4 linked regions of the Callithrix jacchus genome follow. The protein of the gene in region 2 interacts with the protein of the main gene of each other region in a pairwise test. Links are inferred from orthologs where the notes say so. Each region holds a gene or a part of one and is shown on either strand. Other genes may lie near its edges.

Evidence for each region. The genes of interacting proteins can lie anywhere in the genome.
Region 1: the proteins of ATXN1 (region 2) and GCA interact in binary tests that used the Homo sapiens proteins (3 or more experiments, as listed by UniProt). The link is inferred for Callithrix jacchus from reciprocal best matches to the Homo sapiens genes ATXN1 and GCA.
Region 3: the proteins of ATXN1 (region 2) and SYBU interact in binary tests that used the Homo sapiens proteins (3 or more experiments, as listed by UniProt). The link is inferred for Callithrix jacchus from reciprocal best matches to the Homo sapiens genes ATXN1 and SYBU.
Region 4: the proteins of ATXN1 (region 2) and STAC2 interact in binary tests that used the Homo sapiens proteins (3 or more experiments, as listed by UniProt). The link is inferred for Callithrix jacchus from reciprocal best matches to the Homo sapiens genes ATXN1 and STAC2.

Annotation. Positions count from the first base shown.
Region 1 is NC_133507.1:67,349,967-67,354,643, reverse strand, and holds the start of GCA (grancalcin), read left to right. Parts: upstream 1-1,441; 5' UTR 1,442-1,590; coding exon 1,591-1,617; intron 1,618-4,677. UniProt on the Homo sapiens protein: Calcium-binding protein that may play a role in the adhesion of neutrophils to fibronectin. May play a role in the formation of focal adhesions.
Region 2 is NC_133505.1:13,913,300-13,917,945, reverse strand, and holds the start of ATXN1 (ataxin-1), read right to left. Parts: upstream 2,909-4,646; 5' UTR 2,728-2,908; intron 2,300-2,727; coding exon of another isoform or gene 1,486-2,299; intron 1-1,485. Other genes in the region: uncharacterized protein LOC128931873, read right to left, coding at 1,486-2,299. UniProt on the Homo sapiens protein: Chromatin-binding factor that repress Notch signaling in the absence of Notch intracellular domain by acting as a CBF1 corepressor. Binds to the HEY promoter and might assist, along with NCOR2, RBPJ-mediated repression. Binds RNA in vitro.
Region 3 is NC_133517.1:87,409,981-87,414,770, reverse strand, and holds the start of SYBU (syntabulin), read right to left. Parts: upstream 3,237-4,790; 5' UTR 3,108-3,236; intron 2,097-3,107; 5' UTR 1,994-2,096; coding exon 1,949-1,993; intron 525-1,948; coding exon 414-524; intron 1-413. UniProt on the Homo sapiens protein: Part of a kinesin motor-adapter complex that is critical for the anterograde axonal transport of active zone components and contributes to activity-dependent presynaptic assembly during neuronal development.
Region 4 is NC_133506.1:119,710,079-119,714,872, reverse strand, and holds the start of STAC2 (SH3 and cysteine-rich domain-containing protein 2), read left to right. Parts: upstream 1-1,558; 5' UTR 1,559-1,843; coding exon 1,844-1,933; intron 1,934-4,794. UniProt on the Homo sapiens protein: Plays a redundant role in promoting the expression of calcium channel CACNA1S at the cell membrane, and thereby contributes to increased channel activity. Slows down the inactivation rate of the calcium channel CACNA1C.

The DNA.
Region 1 (4,677 bases), on a different chromosome or scaffold from region 2:
CAATCCTTTCTAAGCATTTCTTTGAATATGTAATCATTTGGAATAAAATTTTGCAATGCTTTGTTCTTTCTTGTGCTTTGTCACTTGATACCTTCATAAGCCATGCCATTTTCCCCTCTTATCAAGTAGGTTTTACTCTTCCCATCTATATATTTATGCCAATAATTTAACCTTAGTGGCTTAAGTATTTCTTACAAAATTGAAGAAACTTACACTTTCCCAAGAGTGGCTTCCACATCAGCAATCTTCCTTTCTCTCCGCCTTTTCCTCTGAGAATTGTTTCACAAGGTCTAACATCCTCCTCTGTAGCATAGCAAACCTACCCAAACTTTGCCCCAGCAGGAAATACTATATTTGAAATTAAATGTGGAGAAAGGCAAGAAACCCATGGGGACTTAACTCCCAACTACACAAATGCAGTTGCACCAATAAGGCCATTTTCTATTTTTCAAATAGATACTCAGCTCTGCAAGGCTGATTTCCTTTGCAAATAGTTAACACTTTTTTTTTGACAGCCTTATTTTTAAGAAACATGTTAGCCCTTCTCTTGTTCTTCAGAGATAACTCAAAATAATATCATTTGATCTTTTTATTTGGTTTTATTTCTACAGCTTCCCTGTCCTTTTTAAGTCAGAGCTACAAAATTCATTTGAGTTCCAGAGACAAATCAGATTTGTCCATTGCTATTACTTAATAAGCCAAAGTAATTGAACATTTAACAAGAGTTTGCCCAAAGGTTGATTGAGATTATGTGCCAGACACCTTCTATATTATCAGTGTATAAACAGCAAATAACTTTTTAGTATATATTCATGTCCAGTGCAATATTTGGGACACACACTAAAAAAAATTAATTGGAAATCAAATTTAACTATATATCCTGTATTTTTTTTTTAATTTGCCAAATCTCACAATTCAGGTGACCATTTATCTACCAAACAAAATCAATAACTTGTTCGTATAATGTGGCCTCAAGTGGGTTTTGGCACAGAAGCACTCCTCTTAGAGCACAGGTGTGGTACTGGTTGCAAAGTTTTGACGTGACATCAACACTATACAAAAGTAAATGTAACTGCAAATTTTGAAATTTACAGATGGGTCTTTGAAGTCCAGCTCAAAAGAGTGGAGGAATAAGTTAAAATAAGTCACAGACCTGCCGGTTTGGGGTTTCCAGAAAGAAAAGTAACTTGGGGAGTTGAAGGCTTGGAGACCTTTCCAAAGAGAGTGGGAAGTTAACAAAAGGCTTCTTAGCAAGTTAGAAGTAGAGCGCCTGAGAACCTGAGCGAGCCAATAAGCAGGGACTGGCTGGGCTCCCGACGGGAGTAGCCAATCAGGGTAGAGATGGGTGAGGCTAGGCTGAGGGAAGGGGCGGACTACAGCAGAGTTGGCTCCAAAGTGCGGGACTCAGCCAATCGGAACCGGGCGGGGGTGGGGCTGGACTGCGGAAGGGGGCGGGTTCGGAGGAGTGAACTGTGCAGTTAGTGCGTCTTTCAGCCTCACCTGTAGCTGCCCCTCCCTGCACCTTCACCTTTGCTTTTCTCCCTGCACAGACAGCGTCGCTGACTCGGAGTGTGACGCTCGCTGCTCGTCATGGCCTACCCGGGATACGGAGGAGAGGTGAGTCCCAGCCGCTTGGTCGTGTCTCTCTCCCTCGCGGGATGTGGCGTCCCCGGAGGCGGTGCCAGCGTGCGGGTCCGCCCGTGGCTCCTGCTCGCGGCGTCCGTGCCTGGTATTCAGCAATGCCCGTACTCAGGGGATGTTGGGAACCAGGGTCGGGGCGAGCGTTGACCCTGGGATGACTTGGAGCTCAGGCGTTCTTGAGGTCCCTCGAGGAGCATCCTGGTGGAGCCGAGGGAGTAACGTGTGTTTGGAAATTTATTTCCTGGAATGTAGGAACAAGCCGCCCTCTTTTTGTTCCAGTAATAATCGGTGGTACATCAGTCCCCCGCCCCCCACTCAATGTTGCTAGAGATCCTCTTTCTGAATTTCTTAACCACTTCTTGTTCTTTAAGTTCCTTATGAATAAATTAAGGTGTATGGTAAATGACTCCTAGTCTTTACTGTTATTCGAATGGCAATCTGTTTAGACTTTCTCCCTCGACCCCAGGCGGGGGCACGTTGCTCTTTCTTACAACTTTTATTCTACATCACCTTTGGGAGTTGCAAGTTGTAATCCTAGTGTCCTGGTAGCTACCCCCTTATTTTCAGAAAGGAACTCAAACCGTTAGTATTGATGTCCGTTGTCTCCAAAATGCGGTGAGCCAGCTATGTTAACAAAGTTAACATTAGTTTGATCCACTGCGGTGTGGGTAGAATATATTTTCTATTTTTATTATATTTGTTTTTTAACCTGAAAACAGAAATTGTGTTTACTGATTTTAACATAGGACTTGACTTTGGGCTATGGTTGTGGTCTTCAAAAGAGTTACTCCTACCCTTGGGAGTTCATGGTTTTTGTTGTTGTTTTAGGGTATGAATTTCCAGGTCCTTAACTTTCACACATATTCGTTCCTTAAATTGATTTGCTTGAAACTCAGACTTACCTCAATTCCCTCTGGCACCTTCCACTTTGTAACGCCTACCCCTCCTCATTCCTTAAATTTAGTAAGGAAGTTTAAAGTGCCTAAGGAATGTAAAGCCTCCTTCAAAGATTAGTCAAGATAGCATAAACCTGTAGGGCTTTAAAAATGTCCCTATAGTTATTTTCATTTGGTTGAAGCTATCTGTTAGAAGTGTGATATATTTACATTTGTTGGTATGCTCTGAATTCATATATATATGATAAAGTGATGTGGCAAGAGTAATATATTTTCATTCAAATAATTTGCTGCTTCCTTATTCAACTTTTGTCGGAGTTCCTGAACTTGATGGAGAGTTCCACGACATAATTAAAAAAAAATCTGTATGTGTTTTGAGCATTTAAATTCCCTTTTCCATGTATTTGAAATAAACAGATATTTTTGGCTGTTATGCTCATATTAATAGTTGGAAAGAGAAGCAATATAGATTAGAGGCACTGATTTTTTAAAAAAGTAATTGAAATATTTTAAGATACATTGGATAAAATTTTGGGATAAAACACAATTTCTTTAATAGGAGTATATTAATAAGAGAGTTGAGACTTTTATAAATCATGTTAAATAAAGGCAACCTATACCTTATTAATGTTTCTTATATTCTTTTAACAAAATGTAAATTGTTAACTACTGGACCTAATTGTTTTGATGGTATACTTTTATCTAATTAAGTGCATGATTCATCTCTGTAGGCATTTCCAATAGATATTTACTTTCTTCTTTTAAGTATTGTTTATCAAAATTGCATTTTTTTTACTAATTGTATACTATTAAAAATTATAACTCAATTATAAAGGACTTTTTTTCTTTTTCATTTCTTATTTTGGTCATAGGAAATGAAACGAAATCTAAAACTTTGTTACATGTTTTTATTGTACATGTTGTATTATACAGGCTTCAGAGTTTTCAATAATAAAAGCACAATTTAAGCACAAAAACTTACATAGATTAGATTTTCACACAAGAAATAAAAAAAATTAATTCAAAAAGTAAAAGAAAACATAAAACTTGTACATTTTATATAATAGCCTCTTTAGGTCTGTTTGAAAATGGAAGGAGCAAGTACCAGACTATCAAAGTGTGTAGATGACACTGTGTGTGTGTGTGTGTGTGTATACTCTATTATAGTGTGTATTACTATATATGATACTGTGTATGTGTATTGTACTATTTTACACTATTATATATACACTATTATACATATATACACATATATACACTATTATATATATGCTTATATATACACTATTATGTAGTAATACATACTGTTTATATTTATACACTATTATATAGTAATATACACACTAAGTTGCTTATGAATAATATATTAAGCAATACGTTAAGTACTATATAGTAATACACACTAATAGTCTGTATATACATATTATGTATAATACATACTATAGTATACACACTATAAAATACACAATATTATATATAGTAATATACACTATAATAGTGTGCATATATATACAGATAAAAGTGTGTACTTTCCAAAGAGTGATGTAAAATTTTGTAAATGTCAAGATTTACAATATGTTGCTCATCGTATTCTTTACAACTATTTAAACTTAAAAACTTTATATGTCAATTTAAAATATGGGAAAAGGGTATATAGTTTTTCAAAAATCTTTTAAGGGGAGGGAAGCAAAATGTTTAAAGAAACTGCCGTGGTTCTGATAGTATCCTGAGGGATGAGATAGAGTTTTGTATGCTGGCCTCTCACTTGTTTCTTTTCAGCTTATTGTGATTTATTCCAGTTTATATACGTGGGATTCTCTGAAGTTATAGATTATGTGATCTACTTTTAACTAAAGCCCTCACAAAATATCAATAGTAAGGATTCAAAAGCATGCAAAACAACATGAAAGGCTTGGACATGAAAATATTGTCTAAGCCTTTCTTTAATCACATTACCTATTAGTAATATAGTGATCAATTTTGACTAATTTGAAACTATTAAGAGGACAGCTTGAAATAAGAATTTATGTAAACCATGTTTAGGGATGAACGTTGTTGGCCAGGGCCCCAGTTCTCCTCCATATGGGCCTTTTCACATGGTTCTTCTACTTCTTCATAGCATGGCAGTCAGGTTCTAAGA
Region 2 (4,646 bases):
CGTCTAGCTTGGGCAGCATAAATGCTGTGCATAAAACATTTGGAGTAGTTCAGGCACAAGACAAACCCACCTGAATGGACGAGGAACACTGTCTGTTGCCATGGCAGCCTGATCTAATTACATGAGTGATCAGGGCTGGAGTAAGTGCACTGAAAACCTACACCACTGACAGCCAGCCAGGAGGTTCAAGGGAGCCCTTCAACCTCTGCTTTATGTAGAAGATGGCATTCAAGTCCATTTATTTGCAGAGCTGCTAAAATATTGACTGATGCATGCACAGCGAGAGGGCAATCAGAGGAGATTAAGTGCCACAGCATTAGCCGTTATGGTGCAATCCCTTTCCAAGAGTTCCTGTGCAGGATTTTCTCTTCTCTCTGGTGGTTTCCTCAGGCATAAGCTTCATTCCAAAAAAAAAAAAAAAGCCTAAGTATCAAACTACCTTTACCCACCAAATAAACCGAAGGGTGGGCTTAACGGGGGCTTCTAGGAACTGCAGCCTCCTAAAAAACCCAAACGGAAATGTCTTAGCTAACACTGTTGAAAAAGTAGCTATGCCTAAAAATAACCACCAAGTAACTACCCACTGCTGTGTGCAATATATAACGACAATGTTTAAATATTAAAAACAGCCTGCATTATAAAACGCAAATGTCATTGAGATGTGCACTACTAGATTGCCAAAGGAGAACTTATTTGCATACACACATTCCTGTGCATGCACGAATGTGCAGGCAGAAAGCCACTGTAAGGCACCAGTTTTTATTCTGTGGGTGTAATAGGGTCTTCTAATTTTGCTAATTGTATCCTGTGGATCTCACAGGGAAGCTCAGAATCTCTTCGGGGACAGAACCAGTTTGGAGGAGTCCCTACTGCACAGCATACGGTAAACAAAATAAAAATAGCTTGCCTTTCTTGTTAGCCACATCGCGCATTATATAACCAGCTTCTTCCGACTGGCTTTTTTTTTTTTTTTTTTTTTTTTTTTTTTTTGCCCTTACTACTCTTCAGCAATTTCCCAATCTTCTCAAGTATTTACATTACCTTTTTATCTGTAGGATAATACCAAGAAAGCAAAACAAAACAGACCAGCCACCGGCTCGAACCGAACCCCTGCCGTCCTTAGAAACTGATCTTTTTGTTTTGTTTTGTTTTCTGGCAGAGTCTGGATCACCACCCTACTTCCACCCCCCGCTAAGGTTCTTGCTCAATCTCCCTAGAAAACCTGAATTGTTTCACCGCTTCCAGTCAGCCCCCTACGTGGTTTGAAATAAAATGAAAGCACAGCCTCGGAGTTCAAGAAGGCAGCCTGAAGGCGGGGGGCTGAGAAGGGGTCGGGCGATGCAGAGTCAGCCAAGTGGCCGAGGAGGGGCCCCCTCCGCATCACGACAGCCCTCGCCCCCCGCCCGGCGCGCACGCACACACACATATACACATTCACACTCACTCACACACTCACTCACACGCCGCGCTCCGACACCGCCTCACCTCTCGCTCCGCCCGTCCGGCCCCCTTCCCTGCCCCCTGCGGGACCGGCCTGAGCGCAGCGCTGGAACCACGTAGGAGGCGGCGGCGGCGGCGGCCCCGGCCCCGGGAGTGGCAGAGTCTTCGGCCCGGCCCAGAGTGAACGAGCAGCGGGGCTCCAGGGCGCATCCCAATCCCCGCAGCGCCTCCTCCTCCTCCTCCGCCGCCGCCTCCTCCTCCTTCCCCTCCTCCTGGCTTCATTCACCCTCCCAGCAGCCGCGCAGCCGTTCACTCCCGGCTCCGGGCAGCGCCTGCCGCGGCTCCTCGGTTCCTGCCGCGGGCGCTGGCAGGGGCGCCGGCCCGGACTGGGGCGCTCGCGGGCTCGCGGCTCCGGGCGGCGGCGGCCGCTGCACAGGATCAGGAAGCGGCCGCACCAACAGGGCGGCGGTGGCGGCGGCAGCCAGGGCCGCCACCGCCACTCCAGCCGCGCTCCAGGCACCCGCACACCCGCTACCCCCGCGGGGTCCCCGAGGCCACCCCTCCGCGCCCCCCGCCTGGCACCCGGCCGAGCGCAAAGTCCCGGCCCCTTGGCTGGAGCAGTCCCTTCCCAGCCCACAGCCGTACAGCCGGCGAGGCCGGCCACGGAGGGAAGACCCTCGCCCAGGGGCGCCGAGGCCGGGCGTCCACCCGCGGGGAAGTGCAGCCCTCCCCGAGACCCCCCCTCTCTCACCGCCCTCTCCGGAGAGGAGGAATGGGAAGAGGGCGGCCGGGAAAGGGACCAGCCCCCCACCCCGGCCGCCGCCGCCTCCCCCTGCGCCACCCGGAGGGAGGAGGACATGGCTCTCGGCACTCGCGACCGGACCAGCAGTCTCCAGAGCGGGGCGCCGCCGCCGCTCTCCCTGCCCGCGCCCCCCGCCCGGGCGCGCCCCCTAGCCCGGCGGGCGCCCACCCGGCCCCTGACAGCCCCCCCGAACGGCCGCCCCTGCGCCCAGAGTGGGGGTGTCGGCCTGGGAGCCTGGAACCGGGGACGGTTGTATGTACACACACACGCACGCACACACACACACAACACGACGCGTCGATTCCCTTCGCTCCTCTTCCAGCTGTTTTCCGTGCAGCCGATTGGGGTTTTAGGGTTTGTTTGCTGGTTGTTGCTTTTGCCCCTCTCGGGAGATAGGGAGAGGAGGGATTTTAATCTAAATAAGGGGAGAAGGGGATGGGGGAGGGGGGAAAAGAATCAGAGGAGGAAAAAAAATAGCCACTTACTGTAAAGTGTAAATGGATCTGGGGTTGCGTGGGGAAGGGGGGCAGAGGGAGAGAAACAATGTCTGGCGGCTGCTCTTGCTCTGGCTGCTGCTCCCCGGGGCTTGTTTTGGATCCCCCTGCAGTGAAACAGGTCCTGTACGGCTCCGCCACTGTAGTAGAAATGATGTCTGCGGTATACTCTGCTCTCTCCTCCTCCTCCTCCTCCTCCTCCTCCTCCTCCCCCTCCTCCCGCTTCCCTCCCCTCCCTCCTCCCTCCGCCCTCCCTCCCTCGCGCTCTCTCGCGCTCGCTCGCTCGCTCGCTCGCTCCAGTATGTAAATGTGTAATAGAAGCCAAATATGGAGCAGTTGGCTGCCGCCGCCGCAGCTCAAGGATCCGACTTCATGGGGGTGGGGGGCACCCTCTGGCGGGCGGCCCGGCGAGCAGCACCGAGCCCTGAGCGCACCGCGCGGCGGCTGGCCCGCGCCCTTAACCCTTCGCGGCGCGCGGCCCGGGGAGGCGGGCACCTTTCCCCAAGAGTGGCTCGGGACGGGCCGCGGGGGAGGGGAGGAGCGGGGTGGAGGGCAAGGTTCCTTCCAGGTTTGGGAAGGGGGCGGGGAGCTGCGCGATGAGGTAATTGGAGCGGTGACCGGTCGGTCCTCGAGCGCCTCCCTGGGTCCCTGCACCTAGTTGGAGGGGACCGAGCGACCGCGGGGCGCTGCTCAGGCAACCTGGGGGACTCCCCCAAGGGGTGTCAGGCTTCAGCTGGCAGCCAATGAAACACCCCAGGGGGGAGGGGAGGTCGGCGGGTTCTAATCCCAACGTGCCCTGGGTCCCCGGCGCCCCGAGCCGCGTCTAAAAGGGCTCCCTCCGATCATCAGCTGCACGTTATTTAACCCGCAAACCGGCGTCGCTGCGGCGTTCGGGAACCCAGGCCCGGGGGCCTCGGGGATTGCCTCTGCGTGCAACTCCGCAAAGTTTCCCGGGCCCCCCGACTGCACAGGCGCCCTCACCTTCGCTGCCTGAGAACGCCCGGCCGTGCCCTCGCTCTCTCCGCAGGTCCGGAAATCGGCTTCGATCTGGAGCTACTTACTCCGCTCTAGCCTGGAAAGGAGACCCGCGCACTCCTCTCGCAGCTAATTTGGGATCATTAATTTAATCGGAAATGAGGTAACCAGTGTAAGAGACAGAGAAAGCCACCGGAGCATCAAATGGCAGCTCTCGGGAATCGATGAAGAACTTGAGTCTGGACTCTGTGTTTTAGTGCGGTCCGCGACTCCCACCACCCCGCCCGCCCCTCCGCCTGTCCCGCCGCCAGGTGTGACCTCCACGCGAAGGAATCTTCGTCGGCTGGGCTAACATTGCCAACAGGTGTGGCACCTGGAGGACTGGGAGGTGCCTCCAGACTACGGGCGCTCAGCGTGGCGTTTTTGCTGCAGATGATTCTGGAAGGCCAGTAGGTGTCGGGCAACATTTGACCTCCTTCAGGTGCTTAGAACTAGGTGTCTGGAAACATGACCCCTTCGCGTAAGTTTCTTTCTGAAAGCCACCGCTCTTGACTGTAAGCTGTATTTGAGAGACCTTTTGGCTGAGTTTACTTATGACCTAACGGTTAGTCACCCACTGAGGCAGGGCAGAGAATGATCAAAACATGTGTCAGGTTTTACACAACTCTGGCCTGCAAGAGCCTACGTGCTCCTGAAATAATAAACGTACGAGCGAGGAAAGTGCAGAGCCCCGGAAATATTTTTTCTCACATTTTTGATATGCCGTGCACATGTAAGTGGCTATTTAAATGTAACTACTACTGTTCACTCTTACTCATTTCTACAACTCCCCCCCCCATTTAAAAATCGATGATTGTTACAGTTTGAAACCTCGGGTTAGTCTAAAGTGACATTGTTGGTCTCCTTACAGCCTCTAGTGGACAGTTAACATCAGT
Region 3 (4,790 bases), on a different chromosome or scaffold from region 2:
GGCGCACCGCTAAGGGAAGAGCACTGCAGTTGAACTCAGAAAAACGAGTTCAAGCCAGCACTCCATCAGTCCCTTTAGCCTCAGTGACTAGATGCCTAAAGTTTTTCATTTTATTTATTTCTTTATTTTTATATATTTTTTGTGCTTTTGTTGTTTTTTGATGGTTTTTGTTTTTCGTTGTTGTTGTTGAGACGGGTCCGACTCTGTGGCCCAGGCTGTAGTACAATGGTGTCATCAGGGCTCACCGCAGTCTCTAACTCCTGGGATCAAGGGATCCTCCTGTTTAGGCCTCTCAAAGTGCCGGAATTACATGCAGGTGGCTTTGCCTGCCTGGCCTACGCCTACGGTTCTTGACTCTTCTGAACTGCAAGTTTACCCTTGTGAAATTGAGGGATGATAATAGTGATACCTACCTCTAGGATAGCTGTGACGGTTAGATGAGGAAAACAAAACAGCCGATAGAGCAGAATTTTCCAAAGGGCGGCTAAGTTGGTCCAGGTGATCCGGTCAATATTTGCCGATGCCTTTTACATGACAGGCATAAAAAGCATTTGTGATGCACACAGATTTGTTGAAGAAAGGTTGAAAATCTGTCCAACAGCAGACTTAGAATAGGGTACATCTCTGGCCAAGAGCCTTGATTTATTACACTTGCTACCCTTAAATCTTATCTGGTGATGGAATTCAACATGTATAATGACTTATACACCCTTTATTCAGAATTGGGGAATATTTCAAGCATCAATGTGGCAGGCCAATACTCTGATCCTTATGCACCGGCGTCCTATATGGGAGGACTGTGCTTCTTGAAAATCGAGGGTTACTGTCCCCTTTTATCCATCCTCTAAACAGCTTTTCTCTGAGTCCTCAACTCTCAAGTCTAAGAATGTATGTTGTGAGTCTAGAGAGAGCCTGAAGCCAGAGGATTAGTGGAATCAATTTCCCTTCTTTCTTCAACTCCAAAAGAGATCATCCTCCATAAATCTTCATGCCTTTTCAATCTACTTAGCTGTCTCAAGCAGTGAGGTTGATAATTTTAGGATTCTTTATTTGGAAAGAAGAGGTGATTAATTCATGCTTTCAACACCCATGGCTGTCTCAAATATGGACCTCAGGAAAGTGCAGGTCCAGGAATTTTGAGTCTGGGATCATATACTGTGAGATAAGAACAAGTTGGAAAGTCAATAGATTCCTCTGAGTTCCCTACTTGGAACTGAGAATTGAGACTGGGGACCTAATAGCAGAGACACCCTCACTGAGCTAGCCAAGTGTCTTTCTCTTACTCACCTGACCCACACATAGCATAAACACCAAGTGATTTCCATGCTACCCAAGTAATGACCGTCTTGAATCTAATTCCTTCTGTCCACTATTTATCTCCATTATCTTCATGTAGAGTCTAAACCACAGCCACCCTTATTGCAATAGTGGTCTAACTCAAGGTCTCTTGCTTTCAGTCTTGCCTCTTATTCCTTTCTATCCAGTGTTTCCATTTTTCCACAAACCTTTATGAAAAGCTAAATCAAGTCATGCTTCCCCATGAAAACTCATTAGTGGTTTCCTGATTGTCTTCCAGGTAATATTGAAACTCTTTAATGTGGCACACAAGGCTTTCCTGATCTGGCCACCTTGTTTATCTCTCCAGTCTTGTTTCTTGCCACTTCTCTCTTTTTATAGATACTCTCTTCCCTTCCTAACCTGCCTCTTTGGCCCCTACCACTCTTCCCCTGCATACAAATGGATACTGCTCCAACTGTAGCATTTGCATTTCTCAGAGGAGGAGGTTTTGCATTCTCTTTTTCCTCGACTGCTGCACCTGCTATTTCCTCTGTCTGGAACATTTCTTGCACTATATCCCCCTGTCCTCCTCAACTCTTAAAGATACATTAAGTTTCATTTTAGACAGCTTCTTCCAGGAAACCTCCCCTGATGATTCCAGGACACTTACTTTTACCCCCAGGAGAGCTGTTGTGATCTCCTCAGAATTCCCCATTTACTTGTTTGTTTTCACCGAAGCTTGTAGGCAGTGCCTAGTACAATTCCTCTTATATGGTAGACACTCAATACGTAGCTGTCAAATGAGTTAATGCATGAACCTGTGAATTCCATAACACCATAAGGGGTCCATCAGTGCAGGATAAAGAACGCAGATACAATTTGCTTTGAAAATGATTCAAATAAAGCTGCCTCCACAATGTATTTGTATCTGATAATTGGGTGTATGCCTAAAAAATCCAACATGTGTTCAGTGACAGCTTTTACTGCAGAAGTGCAAGCACTGAGAGGCTGTGCAGTAACCTTGCTGTCGCCATAGCAACCTCGCAGAGGGAAAGGCTGATGATTTAGTGTTCAGATGCTTCTTAGCGCTGTACTTTTGGAACCCAAGCCTGTTTTTCCACTGTTCTAAAAGGCAAGTTTTACCAATGATAATATCTATGCTGTCTTAATTTCATTCAAGTGTTTCTTATGTCATTAGAAGAAATGTAACATTTGGATTATGCCATCAAAGAGATATAATGTAATACAGCATAATATGGTCTTCTTTCCTCTGCTTCAAAACATTCTTGTGCATTTTCATTTTCTACTTAAAGACTTATTTTATGATCTTATCATCTTGTAGCTTCTTTAAAAATTAATGTATTTCTGGCTGTTAGAAAATATTACTTACTTTAGAATTAAACCTTTAAAGATTATAAACAATACCTGTCCAAGCCCGGCAAGGCACAGGAGAGATAGGGTACTGTAGACTGGGAAGAAAGATAATGTCTTTATATAATTATTCCCCCAAATTTGGGGTAAGTTATTGACTGTTTATGTGAAGTTTGTAATTAAGTCACTCCTCCCTTTCCTGTGCACACAACTTTATATTTTCAGAACTCTTTCACATATATAATCTTATTTGAGCCTCACGAAAATCCTGTGAGGTACATGTGGCCAATCTCTGAGACCAGATAAGTGAAAAAGCACAGATTTTTATTAATAGGAATCCCCCAGACTGCAAACTTCACAGAGAAGACAATACAAATGCACTGCCGAAAAGAAAACGCCTGCAGCAAACAACCAAGACACACCACGGTCCCTCACATCCACTCTTCCTCGCATCTCACCTGTGTTTGCTGGGGGCTTCCTTGGGCTCAATCAGGGCTGACAAAGCACCATCTCCTAATCCTATCAGCTGTGTGAGCAAGCACTGCCGTCTCTCTCGGTGACCCAATGTTGGGTATCTGCACAGCAACAAGGAGCAGCTGACGTGCTGCACAAGACGTCACGAAGGAAAGAAACTGCATTCTGGGGCATCCTGGGATTTTTGTGTGTCTGGTGTGGGGTGGGGTGGAGACCCATATTTTTCTTACCAGGGAGAGAGCTGTCTGTTTTCCTGTAAGAGCATTTGTGCATGATCAATCCTCCTCTTTTTTTTTTTTTTTCTTTTTTTCTTGTGATGGAGTCTTGGAGTCTTGCTGTCGCCAGGCTGGAGTGCAGTGGTGTGATCTCAGTTCACTGCAACCTCCGCATCCTGGGTTCAAGCAATTCTCCTGCCTCAGCCTCCCAAGTAGCTGAGACTACAGGCGGGCACCACCACACCTGGCTAATTTTTATATGTTTTGTAAAGACAGGGGCTTCACTGTGTTGGCCAGGATGGTCTTGGTCTCCTGACCTCGTGATCTGCCTGCCTCAGCCTCCCATAGTGCGGGGATTACAGGCGTAAATCACCACGCCAGGCCCAACCCTCCTCACCCTCCTCTTAATATATGTGTGTTATTGTTACTATATGGTTGAGGTACTTTGATGTTGTAAAACTGAAATGACTAGAATTGCACAAGATCACTTCCCCAGGAGGGGGCCCAGAGGGTGCTTGGGGCAGGGAGGGCAGTGGGTAACCTGAGGCAGGGCATGCTTGAACATTCACTGAGCTCAGAGTGTGTCAATTATCTCTGCCCGACAAATGAGTGCTCAGAGTGTTCTCTCAGTGAAAAACAGAAATTAAGGGCAAGTCCAGAGGAAGAGGCAGAGGTTGGGAGCTTGGAGCCTTGAAGGATGGTCTAATCCTCTGCTTGCCTTATGGCGGAGCAGATCTGAGATCATCTTCCCCCAAAATAGCTTTTCGTTTGTGGCATTTGGTTCATCTTTGAAAATAGGGTAGGATACTCATCAAAAACACAGGCACGGTGATTGCATTAAACAAAATGGGGACACATGGTTAGACAAGTAGGTATATACTTATTGAGACAAGGAATCAGAATGATTGAAATTAAGAGGCTCTAGAAAGTATGAGTGTAAAGATTGCCATTTAAGTAGGGGAAACTGAGACTTGACATTTATCTAGTGAAATGCTTCCTAAGTTTGGACAATCTGTTTGTCTCACAGATGTACAGAAAAGACAAAGGTCGTTAATCTGTAAGACATGAAAAGGAAAGCCTAAATCCAATAGTTAAATTCTAGGGTAATAGAGAAACACTTTCGTTCTCCAAGAAACCAGAAGATGTGAGAAAGGCAGCTGAAAGCTGCCTGAACCCAGCAGGGCAGCTATAGAGAGAGGATGCTTCTCAGACATGCAAGCACAGAGCAGATATGCAGGCTGGAGGCTGTGAGGGGTTCACTCGGCATCCATAGCAGTCTAGGCTTAGAAAATAAGTTGATATCTAGGTTCCCAGAAAGCAGATCTATGGCTAGATTTGAATTACATTAAAAATAGCATGCTCTCCATAATATAATTTATTTACATAATTTTTGCTTTTGGCTTCCACTTTCTAGTATACATCTTAAAAATTAACTTTGTCTTTATTTCTGCT
Region 4 (4,794 bases), on a different chromosome or scaffold from region 2:
GAAAGGGGGACCTGGGAAAATGGGTCCCAGATAATCAACATACATTAGAAGAAGCATCTTGGCCAGTGTGGTGGCTCACACCTGTAATCCCAGCACTTTGGGAGGCTGAAGCAGGAGGATCACTTAAGCCTAGGGGTTTAAGACCAGCCTGGGCAACATAAACTCCATCTCTACAAAAAATTTAAAAATTAGCCGGGTGAAGTGGCATGTGCCTGTGGTCCCAGTTGTTTGGGAGAGTTGAGCCCAGGAGGTCCAGGCTGAAGTGAGCTGTGATCAGGCCACTGCACTACAGCCTGGGCAATAGAGCAAGACCCTGTCAAAAAAAAAAAAAAAAAGGAAAAAGAGAAGGAGGAGGAGAAGAAGAAATATCTTGACTGGGCACAGTGGCTCACGCTTGTAATCCCAACAAGCTGGGAGGCCAAAGTGGGAGGATCGCTTGAGCCCACGAGTTGGAGATCATCCTGTGTAACATAGCAAGACTCCATCTCTACCAAAAAATTTTAAAAATTAGCCAGGCATGGTGGTGTATGACTGTGGTCCCAGCAATTAGAGAGGCTGAGGTAGGAGGATCGCTTGAGCCCAGGAGCCTGAGACTGCAGTGAGTTATGATCACACCACTCCAGCCTGGGTGAAAGAGTGAGACCCTGTTTCTAAATAAAAAGTAAAAAATAAATAGAAGGTTATTGTCAGACCAGGTGGAGGGAGGGGCACCTTGGAGGGTGAGGACCTCTTCCCCCACCTCTCGGTATTATCCCCTGATCTAACTCCAGCTGTGGTAGGATCTTCAGGAGGGGAGCGTGTTGTAGTGAAGTTTGGGGACTTTGGGTGTGAGGACTGAGGCCCCATCTCTGCTGAAGTTCAGACACCAAGCCCGGAAAGGGGTAGAATCATCCTGCTTTCCATCACAAGGAGGAATTGTCTGGCCTGACTTTGACGCATACACCATAGTCCAGGTGTGTGTATATTTGGAGAGAGTCTTTTCAGGGCATAGAGGCATCCAATTTTTTTAATGGCACAGATGGGTCCCCATTCTTCCTTCACCAACCTCTGACATCTTTCGATCTTCGCTCTCCAGGAAGTCCTAACTTCGATCTCACTCTCAGCTATCTTGCTGCAGCCCCAACCTATTTCTGTTCACTGCAACCCATCCAGACGCTACTATGATCTCCCCAAGCTTCCCTCAATCTGGTCACGCCCCCCGCATCCCGGGTTTTTCAGTGTGAAACTCCCTCCTTCGCTTCTTTCACCGCCAAGCCCCGCCCCATCGTGTCGAGCCCCCCAAGATTCAGCCTAGCTCGCCCTCCTGGCCACAGCGGCAGCCAATAGCTGAGAGCCCGATTTGCATGGCGGCGAGGGGGAGCGGCGGAGGGCAGGGGGCGGGACCAGGCGACCTCCTAAATCAAAGTTGGGCAGCGAGGACTGGGCGGAGGGGCCACCGGGTGCCGGGCTGGGGCCGGCGGGGGAGGGGAGGGAATGGGGGGCGGGCGCAGAGGACGGCGGAACCGGCCGGACACGGACAGCTCCGTGGCTCCCTCCCTCGGCTCATCCCCGCGGTCCCACTTTCCTCCTCCCTGCGCTCCGAGCAGCATCCTCTGCAGACCCTCGGTCCTCTCGCCCGGGGTGGTCCCGCTCCCGCGGCTCGGCGTGGTCGCCTCCCCTCGCCCGCCACCCCGGCAACTTTCTCCGCCCGCGCCCGCGGGTGGGGGGCTGCCGTGCCGGAGGCCAACTGGGGGCAGCCTCTGGAGAAGGGCTTCAGAGTCCCGGAGACGCCCGCCACCCGCAGCCTGCCCGCGGCCGGCCTGCCGTCGGGTCTCCGCACCTTCTCCGACCCTCCTCCCGAACCATGACCGAGATGAGCGAGAAGGAGAACGAACCGGATGACGCGGCCACCCACAGCCCCCCAGGGACCGTCTCCGCCCTCCAGGAAACCAAGGTAACTTGGGGGGCGCGAGGCCTGTCCCCGCCCCGTGTGTCCCTGGCCCAGGCGCCCTCTTCCCGGCGGGGTCCTCCTGTGGGCCCGGTCGTCCTGGGGTCGCGGTCGCGGGGCCCGCGTGACCACTGAGGCTCCGCGCCACGCTCGGGGGGAGGAGTGGATTGGCGACGAGGGGCCACGAGGAGCCCCAGATCACACCAGCACCGCACGGCCGCGCGCGCCATCGCTACCCTCCGGGGAGGCGGCAACCGGGCTTCGTTGGAGGGATGGGCGCAGGGAGGCCGGAGGGCGCGTGTGGAGCGGCGCGGGCGGGGTGCGTGCCCGGCTGTGCGAGCGAGGCGCACCCTCCCACGGCCGCCGGGTCCCCGTGCCGGGCTCAGTCTGCCCCTCTGCCCTCGCTCGTGTCTCTGAATGTGTCTCTACAACCTGCGTGTCTGTGTCTTGGCGTCTCTCTGTGTGCGTCTCTCCGCGTCTCTCCCCGCGTCTCTGGGTGTTTATCTCCGCGTCTCTGGGTGTCTCTCCCTGCCCCTCCGCAGTCCTGCATTCCCCGCTCCCAGCGGGGTTGGGCTCGGGGACGCGAGGCCGCGGCCGGGGGTGCGCAGCTGCGGAGTCCGCGCGGGGGCCTGCGGCAGCGCGGGCCGTCGGTAGCGGGCGGGGACCCGGGCCTGCGGTTGTGGCTCCAGACCAGAAAGGCAGCCCCACCCCCTACCCCGGGAGCGGGACCAAGCGGTGGGGCGCCGGGGGAGCGGGTAGAAGCGAAAAGAGAAGTCATCGTAATTAATGAATGTCATCATTAACCCTAATTATGGATGATTGTTACTCCTGCGGGAGTCACCATGAATAAATTACTCCCCGCGAAGGCGGGCGGAGCCCAGACTCCTGGCCCTGAACGGGGTGTGGAGAGACCGCCGCTCACACTCAGCACCCCCCTCTTCTAATCCGTCTGCTCCGTTCCCAAGTTCTAGGTTCTGGCGACTGGCCCGCGAGAAGTTTTGTTCTGCGGGAGCAACCTGAGCGGGCCGGGGGATGGGGCGGAAAGGGCTGTGCCAAGGGTGCGCCCTGCCCCCTCCCAGACTTCAGGCCAAGACCTCCTCCCTCTCTCTTCCCCTGGTATTTTGTTCCCATCCTGTTCCTGTTTTCCAGTGGCGAAGGGGGACAGTGAGGACCAGAAATGGTGGGCCTGGGTTCCGGAGGAATCGCTGGCTCCCTAGGCTTCTTCCTACTGTTCCCCTTCCTCCTCCTTCCATCTTGACCACCCCATAGGAGTTGAGGTTAATTCAAGGTCAAGGTCATCAAGGGAGTGACCCTGAGGAGGATCGTGTTTACCCTGTTCCTACGGAGGAGGAGGACATAGGATCAGGGTGGAGTCTGGCAGAGGTACCCCAGGGATATTCTATTGCTTAGAATATTTGTGACAACTTCTGTCAAGCAGACGGTCTGGGAGCTGAACCTCCCCTAAGCTCCAATGCCGCTGACCCCGGTTGCCCTCTAGTCACCCTGGGTAGACATACACAGTCCCCCTGCTTGCCTCCAGGGGCTTGGGGCCTCCCAGGCTCTGCCCGGCTTTCCATACAAAGGCCTGTTCACTCCAGCCCCCTCCCTGGGAGCTCTGGAAGGCGGGCAGGAGCGCGGGGTGGTGCTGCCTCAGCACTCCAGCAGGCTGCCTGCTCAGCTGTGTGTTGGGGAAGGTGAGGGCCTGCAGGTCTGTGCCTCTCCCTCCTCCCAGCCCAGGGACCCTCCAGTGTTGTCACCTCTGGGTCTGAGCTTGGAGATTCAAGGGGTGGGGAGGGCAGAGATTACATACATGAGCCAGCATCACTGATGAGCACTGGCCCCCTCTGTTGTACCTGCCTCACACTGAGCTGGGTGGGCAGCACCCAACCACACTCTCTTCCATCTCCCCACCCACACAGTCTGGAGACAGGAGCTTCTTTGAGCCAGGGTGAGGCCTAGCCCTCTGTGCTAGGTCAGCTGAAGCCCTGGCCCTCCGGCCCTCTCCTACACTTCACTCTTTTGAAGGACTCTGCACTAACACAGACTAGGCTGTGGGTTGGGTTGGGGGTATTCAGCAGGGCAGAGGTGGCAGAGAGAGAATCCAGGACCCCTGCTAGCCTCCTTCCATCCCACACTTCACCCTGGCTCAAAGAATCTCCTGTCTCCAGACTGTGTAGGTGGGGGAGATGGAAGAGAGTGTGTTTGGGTGCTGCCCACCCAGCTCAGTGTGAGGCAGGTACAACAGAGGGGGCCAGTGCACATCAGGTAGTGACGCCAACATTCCAGGCTTATTTATCAGTGTTGGTGCCCCCTGGGAATCACTGGCTGCCTCCTGCTTGCCCCCAGGCAGGATCAGCCCTGCATCTGAGCCACTCAGCAACCCTCCTAGGGAGTCCTCCTCCTCTCTTGGTCTCCATCCCTTCTTACCACATAGGGCCTGCCCATCACCCCCTTTGTTGCCACCCTTGGAAGGACCCCCTCGTGCCAGCTCTGCTCTGAGTCAGCTTGCGCCACATCCACCACCACCCACTGCCAGATGCCTCGTGCCCTTTCAGGAGATGCTGTGGGGATTGAGGAAATAAGGGGCCGCCCAGGATATGGGGAGGTAGGGGGGAAACAGGCCAGGCCCTGTCTCTAGGATGGGGTTCAGAAGAACAGACTTGGTGGTCCAGGCTCCCAGCTGGACAAACTGGGTGCACTGGGAGGAAGAGTGACCAGGAGGGCCCACTTGCCAGGGTACACCGCAGCTTCTCTCCATGCCAGAGAATGGGTCCCAGGGAAGTGAGGGCACCAAAAATATAGTGGGGGGAAGAGATGGGAAAAGGTCCTCTCTGGGAATCAGGAGCCCCAGGAGCAGAAATGCCTGG